Linked DNA regions of Oryzias latipes. The protein of the gene in region 2 purifies or fractionates together with the protein of the main gene of each other region. This does not show direct contact. Links are inferred from orthologs where the notes say so. Each region holds a gene or a part of one and is shown on either strand. Other genes may lie near its edges. The genes, in order: transducin-like enhancer protein 1 and en1.

The links.
Region 1: the proteins of en1 (region 2) and transducin-like enhancer protein 1 purify together in Homo sapiens (affinity purification with western blotting; 4 studies listed by BioGRID and IntAct, with this or other methods). This does not show direct contact. The link is inferred for Oryzias latipes from reciprocal best matches to the Homo sapiens genes EN1 and TLE1.

What each region holds. Positions count from the first base shown.
Region 1 is NC_019867.2:10,627,932-10,631,753, forward strand, and holds part of transducin-like enhancer protein 1, read left to right. Parts: intron 1-234; coding exon 235-451; intron 452-738; coding exon 739-755; intron 756-2,745; coding exon 2,746-2,859; intron 2,860-3,269; coding exon 3,270-3,323; intron 3,324-3,411; coding exon 3,412-3,561; intron 3,562-3,634; coding exon 3,635-3,773; intron 3,774-3,822. UniProt on the Homo sapiens protein: Transcriptional corepressor that binds to a number of transcription factors. Inhibits NF-kappa-B-regulated gene expression. Inhibits the transcriptional activation mediated by FOXA2, and by CTNNB1 and TCF family members in Wnt signaling.
Region 2 is NC_019860.2:18,270,714-18,275,018, forward strand, and holds en1 (homeobox protein engrailed-1), read right to left. Parts: upstream 2,986-4,305; 5' UTR 2,695-2,985; coding exon 2,172-2,694; intron 936-2,171; coding exon 604-935; 3' UTR 283-603; downstream 1-282. UniProt on the Homo sapiens protein: Required for proper formation of the apical ectodermal ridge and correct dorsal-ventral patterning in the limb.

The DNA.
Region 1 (3,822 bases), on a different chromosome or scaffold from region 2:
CAGAAGTTTATTGATTAAATTGCAGAGTGCTATTGATTTTTTTCACTAACTGGTGGCTATGTTTCATTCACGTGTCCTAAGTTTTTGGTGTCAGGTGTTGTTGTGGTTCGCATTTATTTCAGCTAAAGTCTCATGCAGTTACACATGTTGTGCTTGCTATGACTCTGCATATATATGTATATATATATGTATATTTTTTTGAGCTCATCCCACTTTGTTTTCCTTTTTTAACAGCAACAACATCTATCCCATAACCATGGGGGTGCCCCTGTTCCACTAACCCCTCACCCTGCTGGCCTCCATCCCTCCCAGCTGGGTGGTTCAGCGGGTCTTCTCGCTCTATCGGGAGCACTTGGTGCGATTCCTCCCCATCTGGTAGGAAAAGACGGAGATAAAAAGCCTCATCTGTCCGGACCGGACTCACATCCTGCAGCGGCCGAACTCCTTAGAGGTGAGGAGATTTGATGGAAAGAAAAAGTAAAAAACTGTGGATACTATTATTAACCTTTAAAGTTTTGTGTCTTATATCATAGCAACCATGGAAATATGTTAACATACGGGGGGGGGTATATGTAATGCTTTTCCCACTCCCTTTCACGTACTAAAAGTTTTTTGAGTAATTATTTTCAATGTAGCTAATTTTGTATTTTTTTGTTTCTTGTCGTTTGTGGTTTTCCATGTGGCTGAACGTTCTACCCTGTGACCCTAACTGCATCCATGTTTTTCCAATGGCAACAGAGCGAGAGCCCGGCACAGTGAGTAGTTCCTCTTTCTGCCCGTAAAAACTTCCTGTTCTGAACAACAACCGACTTTTCCTTTCTGTTTGTCAGTCAGTGTGGTTTGAATCGTGGGGGCCTGAAGTTTGGTAATACATTTGAGTTTTATTCTTTTGGCTCAGTTGAAAGCACATCTTTGGGGGTTTGAGGACTCAAAGAGCCAAAAAAATTATTGTTGACTGTGAGGCTCAAATACATTTTGTGTCAAATGTAAGTGGCAATCGCCTCACTATTGTTGGAAGTTGTGTTGTCGTGTTGAGTCAACTTTGGTTGAGCACTGTGAAATTAAATGCAAGGAAGGTGAAATCATTATGTATTTATTGTATTTTGTCATGGTGCTAATAAGTTTTAATAAATAACTATTATTGACTCCCTATTCTTCAGTGGTTATTGGAATTTATATTATAATTACATTATGACTACATCACCTGATTAAAAAAAATCTAAGTTAAATTGATTAATATAGCACTGCTTTCATCCTGACATATGTTGTTGAATGCTTGTTTCAGTGCATGTGTGTGTGTGTTTTTGTGTATATCGGGAGTCTCTGGGGTAGGGCTTTGGCCTGCCTGTTTAGTTATGCCCTAGATCTGCTCGGAACTGGTTGGCTTCTTTTCTCCTCCAAATGAGCCTCTTACCATGGTCACAAGTGCCCAAACGTGCGCGCATGCGGGCACACACACACACACATTCACACACAAGCTTGTCCAACCTGGCTTGCATTGTTGTGACTATTTAACACCTCAGTGAGCAGATTACCCCCTCCTCCCATCGCCCCTGATCCTGCGCTTAAAGACTCTCATTGTGTTTAATATCACCACCTCTGGGAGGGGAGGGCTTGAGAAAGGGAGGGAGTGGGGGGTGGGGGGGGGCAGTCATATGACACTGAGCTTGTGTTCATGTGTGAGAGGGGACACACCATGTTAAAAGCGAATGGGGCGGAGCAACGGAGTGCACGATTGCTTATGTTTAGCGGGTCAGTGCGTCTCAGCTCGCTAAAAATTTTCAATGAAGAGGTGGGAGTGAAGTAGGGGGGGGCTTTGACTGGATAAAGATCTCCCACCCACAAGGCTTTTTTTCTCCACCATCCCTCGTCTGTTGTCACCCTTTCTGCCCCTCTGTGCCCTCCCTCCATCTTCTCTGTCCTCCCTCCTCTTTTTTTAAGCCCCCCCTCCCCTCTAGCTGTTCATCCTTCATTTACCCTTTCCCCCTTGAAGTGCTCACTCCCTCGCTGAGTCTGTGCATGCGCATGTGTTTGTGTTTGTTGGATGAACATTTCATTGACAGGCTGAGACTATAATGGACTCAGCATGAAGCTTTAATCCATTAACAAAAGGATTCATTGGTCAGGAGGCCAGAGAGAGATGACTCTGTTTGTGTGCCTGTTTGCTTAGCAGTTGTGTGTGTGTTTGCATGCATGCCTAGTCTTAGGACACTAAAGTGTTATGCAAGTAACACACAACCACAGTCTGTTGCACATGTAATGACACACACACAGGCTTTCACAGACAATTGAACTCCATACACACACACACACACACACACACAATCAGGCTTTAGCTAGCGCGGCTTGTCAGAGCCAGAAGAGGGAGCACTGATAGAGTTTGAGAGCCACTTAATGTAATCATCAACTTCAGAGGCTTCCGTTTGTGTTTAGCTGTGACTGTCTTTGGTCAAGTGTGAAAAGAGGTTGCTGTTAAAATGTTAGTGCTGCTTAATTCATGTCCATGTGAGCTGTTAACTTATTAGCAAGCAAGAGTCTGTTTTTCTAACCTGCTCTGCTGAAAGCTCTTGTAGATAACTGCTGATGGATCTGACCACTTAGTAAGCTCACGCAGATTAAACACACAGTCAGGCAGGAGCTAAACTAAAACCCTTTGCATTTTTAGAATCCCTTCTTTCCTGCAAACCTTTTTTTCTGTTTGCGGTATCTTACCTTTCTTATCTACATCTGTTCTCATTCCTGCAGAGTAACTCGCTGCTGCCGGAAAGTCTTAGGAACTCGGATAAGCGGCGCAATGGGCCAGACTATCAAAACGACAACAAGAAACGTAAGGTGGATGACAAGGACTCCAGTCACTATGTAAGGATTGGGTTTAACTTTGATCTGTCTTGCTTTTAAAGACCTACCCAAATAAAAATCCTTTTTTTTGTGTATTTAATATTTTAAAAAGTTTTCTTACAATGGAGGACATATACAAGAAGATTGCACGTTTGAGTATTTTTTTTTTTAATAATTTAGAATCAAAAGCAAATGAAAAGAAAAAAACAGTTTGATGCTGTTTGAAAAAGTGTGCATTAGTAAAAAATACAATGGGCAGGTTTTGTTTTTTCTCAGCTGGATGGCTATAAACGGCATAATCATAATGAAAAGACCTCTGGGAAGACTTTTATAATAGATCAAAAGTTTATTGGAGTGGGACTTTAAAATAAAGAGGAAAACATTTATTGTTGTGTCTCTAATTTACATTATTCTGTGATTTGCTCCATTAGGATAGTGATGCAGAGAAAAGCGACGACAATTTGGTGGTGGATGTTTCAAATGAGGTCAGTATTTATACTTCTTTTTTTTAATTTGTTGTTCACTTTTGTGCATGTTACTGTGTGTAACTGAATTTTTGTGGGTGTTCTGTAGGATCCTGCTTCGCCGCGTGGGACACCTCTTCCCTCCCCAAGAGAGAATGGGTTGGATAAAGCCCGACTCCTTAAGAAAGACCCCTCCAGTCCAGCCTCCACAGCTTCATCAGCCAGCTCCTCTTCCTTAAAGTCCAAAGAGATGGCGATGGTGAGGACCGCCACTTTTGTGAGTCCTAGTCACTTAGAAAAATATTTAAGGAAAGTCGTCTCCTGTGTGACAGCGAGATAAGGCGGGAACACCTGGACTGAAGTCGAGCACACCCACTCCCAGGGGTGACTCCACACCTGGACCAAGCTCCACACCTGGAATCCGACCAAGTCTCTCAAAACCTTCATCAATGGATATACCTCACCCTCCCAGTTAGTTTGTTTGAGCGTGTTTATTGCAAACTTTATATTTTGGAAAAGC
Region 2 (4,305 bases):
TAAATGTTCATAATGTTCATTTTCGAGGCTTTTTCCTGTTGTGTGACCCCTATAGGTTAACGGTCAGGCGTGACGTCAGTTTAATTGGTCAATTAAATATTTTTGAAATAAAATCGTTTAGTATAAGTATTTCTTTTTTTTGGTTACATTTGTTTCAAAAGTCCATCCAAAGTGTTTTTGTAAAAATGTTTGAAATTAATATTAATGTTCATCACAAAAGTTTACATTTTTTTTTAATTTAAAAAACATGAAAAAAAACGATTTTTTTTAAAGACCGTTTGCTTCCTTTTTTATTTTATTTTTTGTTTATTTCAGACTACATGTGAACATATTAAAAATCTTTGGCTTAACGGGTTGATTCGTTGAGGGGGGAAAAATTGGCGCAAACATGAGGGATACTTAAGAAAAAACAAAAAATAATAACAAAAGCTCCGGATGGAAGATGCGCCTGAAACCAAACACATGATAACTGTGGCTATATAAACTTTAATAACGATCGTTCATTTATATAATTATGTCCATATACCGTTCACATAAACAGAAATCTGTCTCTTTTTTGTCTCGTTTTAAATAGCGTCCGTTGCGCGCGCGCGCGCGCGCTCCTCACTCGCTCTCGTCCTTCTCCTCCTGCACGGTGGTGGTTGAATGGTTGTAAAGTCCTTGAGCCATGAGCTGCAGGGCCAGCCCGTTCTTGTAGCCGCTGGCCTTTTTGATCTTGGCCCGCTTATTCTGGAACCAGATTTTAATTTGGGACTCGTTCAGGTTGAGTTCCTGCGCCAGAGACTGTCTCCGCTGCTCCGTTATGTACCGGTTGGCCTGAAACTCGGTTTTCAGTCTCTGCAGCTGCTCGGCCGTGAACGCCGTCCGCGGCCGCTTGTCCTCCTTGCTGTTCTTCTTCTTTTTCAGTTTCCGTGTCCTCGGCCCTGGTGTGGAAACAACAGTGGGAATGAAATGTTTATTTACAGGCTGGGAGGCGCTCCTCCGCCGCGCGCGAGGCGACAAATATGTCATCAATTCAATCTAGAGTCATTTAAGAAACACTTTTCCATCACGTGTTTTCATTACATCCTCTGCAATGGTCTCAAAGTGGCTTATCTATTTCCTCATATTCTTATGGCTGATAATTAATCAGGTACAGGTGAGGGGGAGACAAATCAGCCAATCAGAGGAGAGGACGGCGCACCTTCACTCACAACTAATGAAATAAGGAAACTACAAGCGACATTCATTAAATGAAATGAATTCAAACGCTTCAATAAATAAATGGAAGTCATATATTGCAAAAGTATTTCATCAACAAAATAAATGCATTTTTTCTTTTTTTAACCTAAAAAAGACAAATTAAAGTTAATGATTTATAGTCATGTACTTTTATTTTGTTCATTTGTACAAAAATCCTGCTATCATTATGTATTATTCAAGGGCAAAATAAACCTAATATAAAGGAAAAACGGCTAAAACATGAAAACAAAAGCTGACCATAAAAAACTTTAATGTTATTGTGTAATATGCTAGTTTAACAATGACAATAAATAGTTAATCAAGCAATAGTTGTGCGTTTATTTTATTTTATTTTTTGCTTTAGTTTATCTTTTATTTACAACACTGGTGTATATTTCAAAGCAAATTTTTCTTGTGAGGTCAAAAAAAAGTTTTACATCCTCAAAGCTGGATTAGAGTCAAAAATGAAATAAAAATTCAAATATAGAAGAGTTTAGTTTTTAAAATGCAGGTTCAGAAACTCTTTGTTTTAGTTAATAGCCTTCTTATTAATTATTAATCAAAATAAACGTATTTCTTGTTTTTGCACATAAATGCATAGATGATATAATATAATAATTTTAAAACAATATTTTGCTCTAAGTCCAAATGTGTAAAAATTTAATATTTCCACAGAAATTTTATTTTTTTCTCCCCCATCTTTTATTTATTTACACAACCAAACAATTTAAAAAAAATGTTTTTTAAAGACTTTAAGTTAAAAAATTATAATTTTTTTATGAAGCTATATTTTAATGTTTTTAGTGTGTACACATTACAAAATAAACATGACAGTATTTTTATGGAAATCCTAATAATTATCGCTGTAAAGTGAAAATAAACGATTGGAAATGGTGGGAAAGCGGTCCAAAGTGGTCCGCAGGGCCGCAGCGGGACTGTCAGCGCCTTACCAGATGACGGCCGGTCCGAGTACCGGGTGCAGTAAACCCAGGCGGGCCATAGCAGCGGCTGGCTCTCCTTCGTTATCGGCGGAGACGCTCCGTTGCCGCCGCTCACAACCACAATAGAAGACGGGCTGTCCGCGTATCTGCCCGTCCCGCCGCCCGCCGCCTCGCCCTGCTTCGCCGAGCTCTGCTTGGACGACGGCGACGAGGACGACGACGAGGCGGGCGACGACGAGGCGCTGTCGCTGCTGCAGTTCGAGTCCAGGCAGAGGCTGCCGGCGTGCGGCCTCGCCCCCAGCGGGTTGACGTTCTCTCTGCCCGCCGTCTGGCTCCGGTAGCCCGGCTCCTTCCTGCAGCCGAAGTCCGGCCGGAGGATGTTGTCTATGAAAAAGTTCGTGGTTCTGTGCTGCTGCTGGGCCGCCTGGTGGGGTAGAATCACGGCAGGGGAGGGGAGGTTCGGCGACAGCGACATGCTGCTCTCGTCCTCGGTGGAATCCCGGCCGCTGCCGGGCTCCTTGCGCTCTTCCATGGCTGGTGATGGGGCAGAAATCCCGGCCTCTCCACGCCAAGCTCCACTTGTTGCTCCCGCCCCTCTTCGGTATCCAGTTTAGACGGTCAGCATTCAAAAACAAGCCCAAGTGTCTGCGCAGGCTTCTACAATCACCTACAGAGGCGACATGTCTGCTGGCAGAGCCGACATCCACGCAGGACGCAGTGCCGCGGCTTCTCCCCGCCGCAGCGTAAATATCTCTGAATCTGCTCCTCACAAAAACCGTTATCTCCCCCCGCGCGTGCGTGCCGCCCTTTTTTTTCCTCCTTCTTCTTCTTCTTCTTTTTTTTATTTTCATTTTCTGACACCCAGCCGGAAGCACGTGTGCACGTAACACTGCAGACCAATCAGGTGAAAGAGAGGGTCCAGATCAGAGGCGACGCCGACCAATCAGAGCACAGGAAGGCGAGCACGCGCGCGTACAGTTGATCGGCGGGATGGAGTGGGGGGGGGGGGTGCGCAAGTTGGCACACACGTCAGGTGGCAAAGAAAAATAAGGGTTTTTAAATCCGTAAAAACGCCACACTTTAATTATTTTTATTGTATTTGTCTAAACATGTTCATCGTTGCCTTTAACTTCATTTTGTTAAAAATGTTGCCTTGAAAAAATAAATACATTTTTCAAAATAAAAAAAAAAAAAATGTTAAGAACACAAAGTTGTTTTACTATGTTTTTGCTTGTTTTGCAATGACCTTTAGCCTATTATTTATTATATATAATATATATATGACACACACATATATATACATATATATATATATATATATATATATATATATATATATATATATATATATATATATATATATATATATATATATATATATATATATATATTATGTTGGGGAAAAACCCCACAGATGCTGTCAGAAAGTGTACAATGTCAAAAATATATACAAATTGTATATTTTATTTGCTTTCTCGTTATCTACAATACATTCATCCTAGTTGTAATTTTTATGTTTTTATTATTTGGAATTATGTAAAATATTGATATTCTTTTTTTTCTATTTCTATGTCAATTTTAAAAGCACTACACGTTTATTTCTATAAATGGGGTTAATTGCACATTAGATTTAATTTTATTTTGCTTTTTAAAAACCTTTTTATCCTGATGGAACATCTTACATAAACAAAACTAAAAGATTAAAAAAAATTAGAATAGAAAAATAACGGAGTGTTTCCCGGTTGTAATAAACTATTCAGCCTAATAAATGTTTAAAAATGGCATCCAGTTGTAATTGGCAATTTGAAATAATAATATTAATAATCTTAATGGCGACAGCATGAAAGTGGGGACGTGTTGATGGTTAACTCTGGTTAAATCTTTATCCCAGCGGCCGGAGTGCTACTTAATTAAATTCCAATTAGGACAGTATCAATGCGCAGTTTAGCAGCAGCGCCTTTGTGGGTAAATGAGCTCTCAGTCTGCTCTTATCTGCTTCTGCAAAGAGGCCTGCTTTGAGGGGGGAGGAAGAGGAGTGGAGGGGAGGAGGGAGGGGGGGCAGCAAAAAGGTAATTTATAGCTTTTAATTAGTCTTCACTCCGCTCGATGTGGCCGGCGTTCATCACCGAGAGCGGCCTGAATA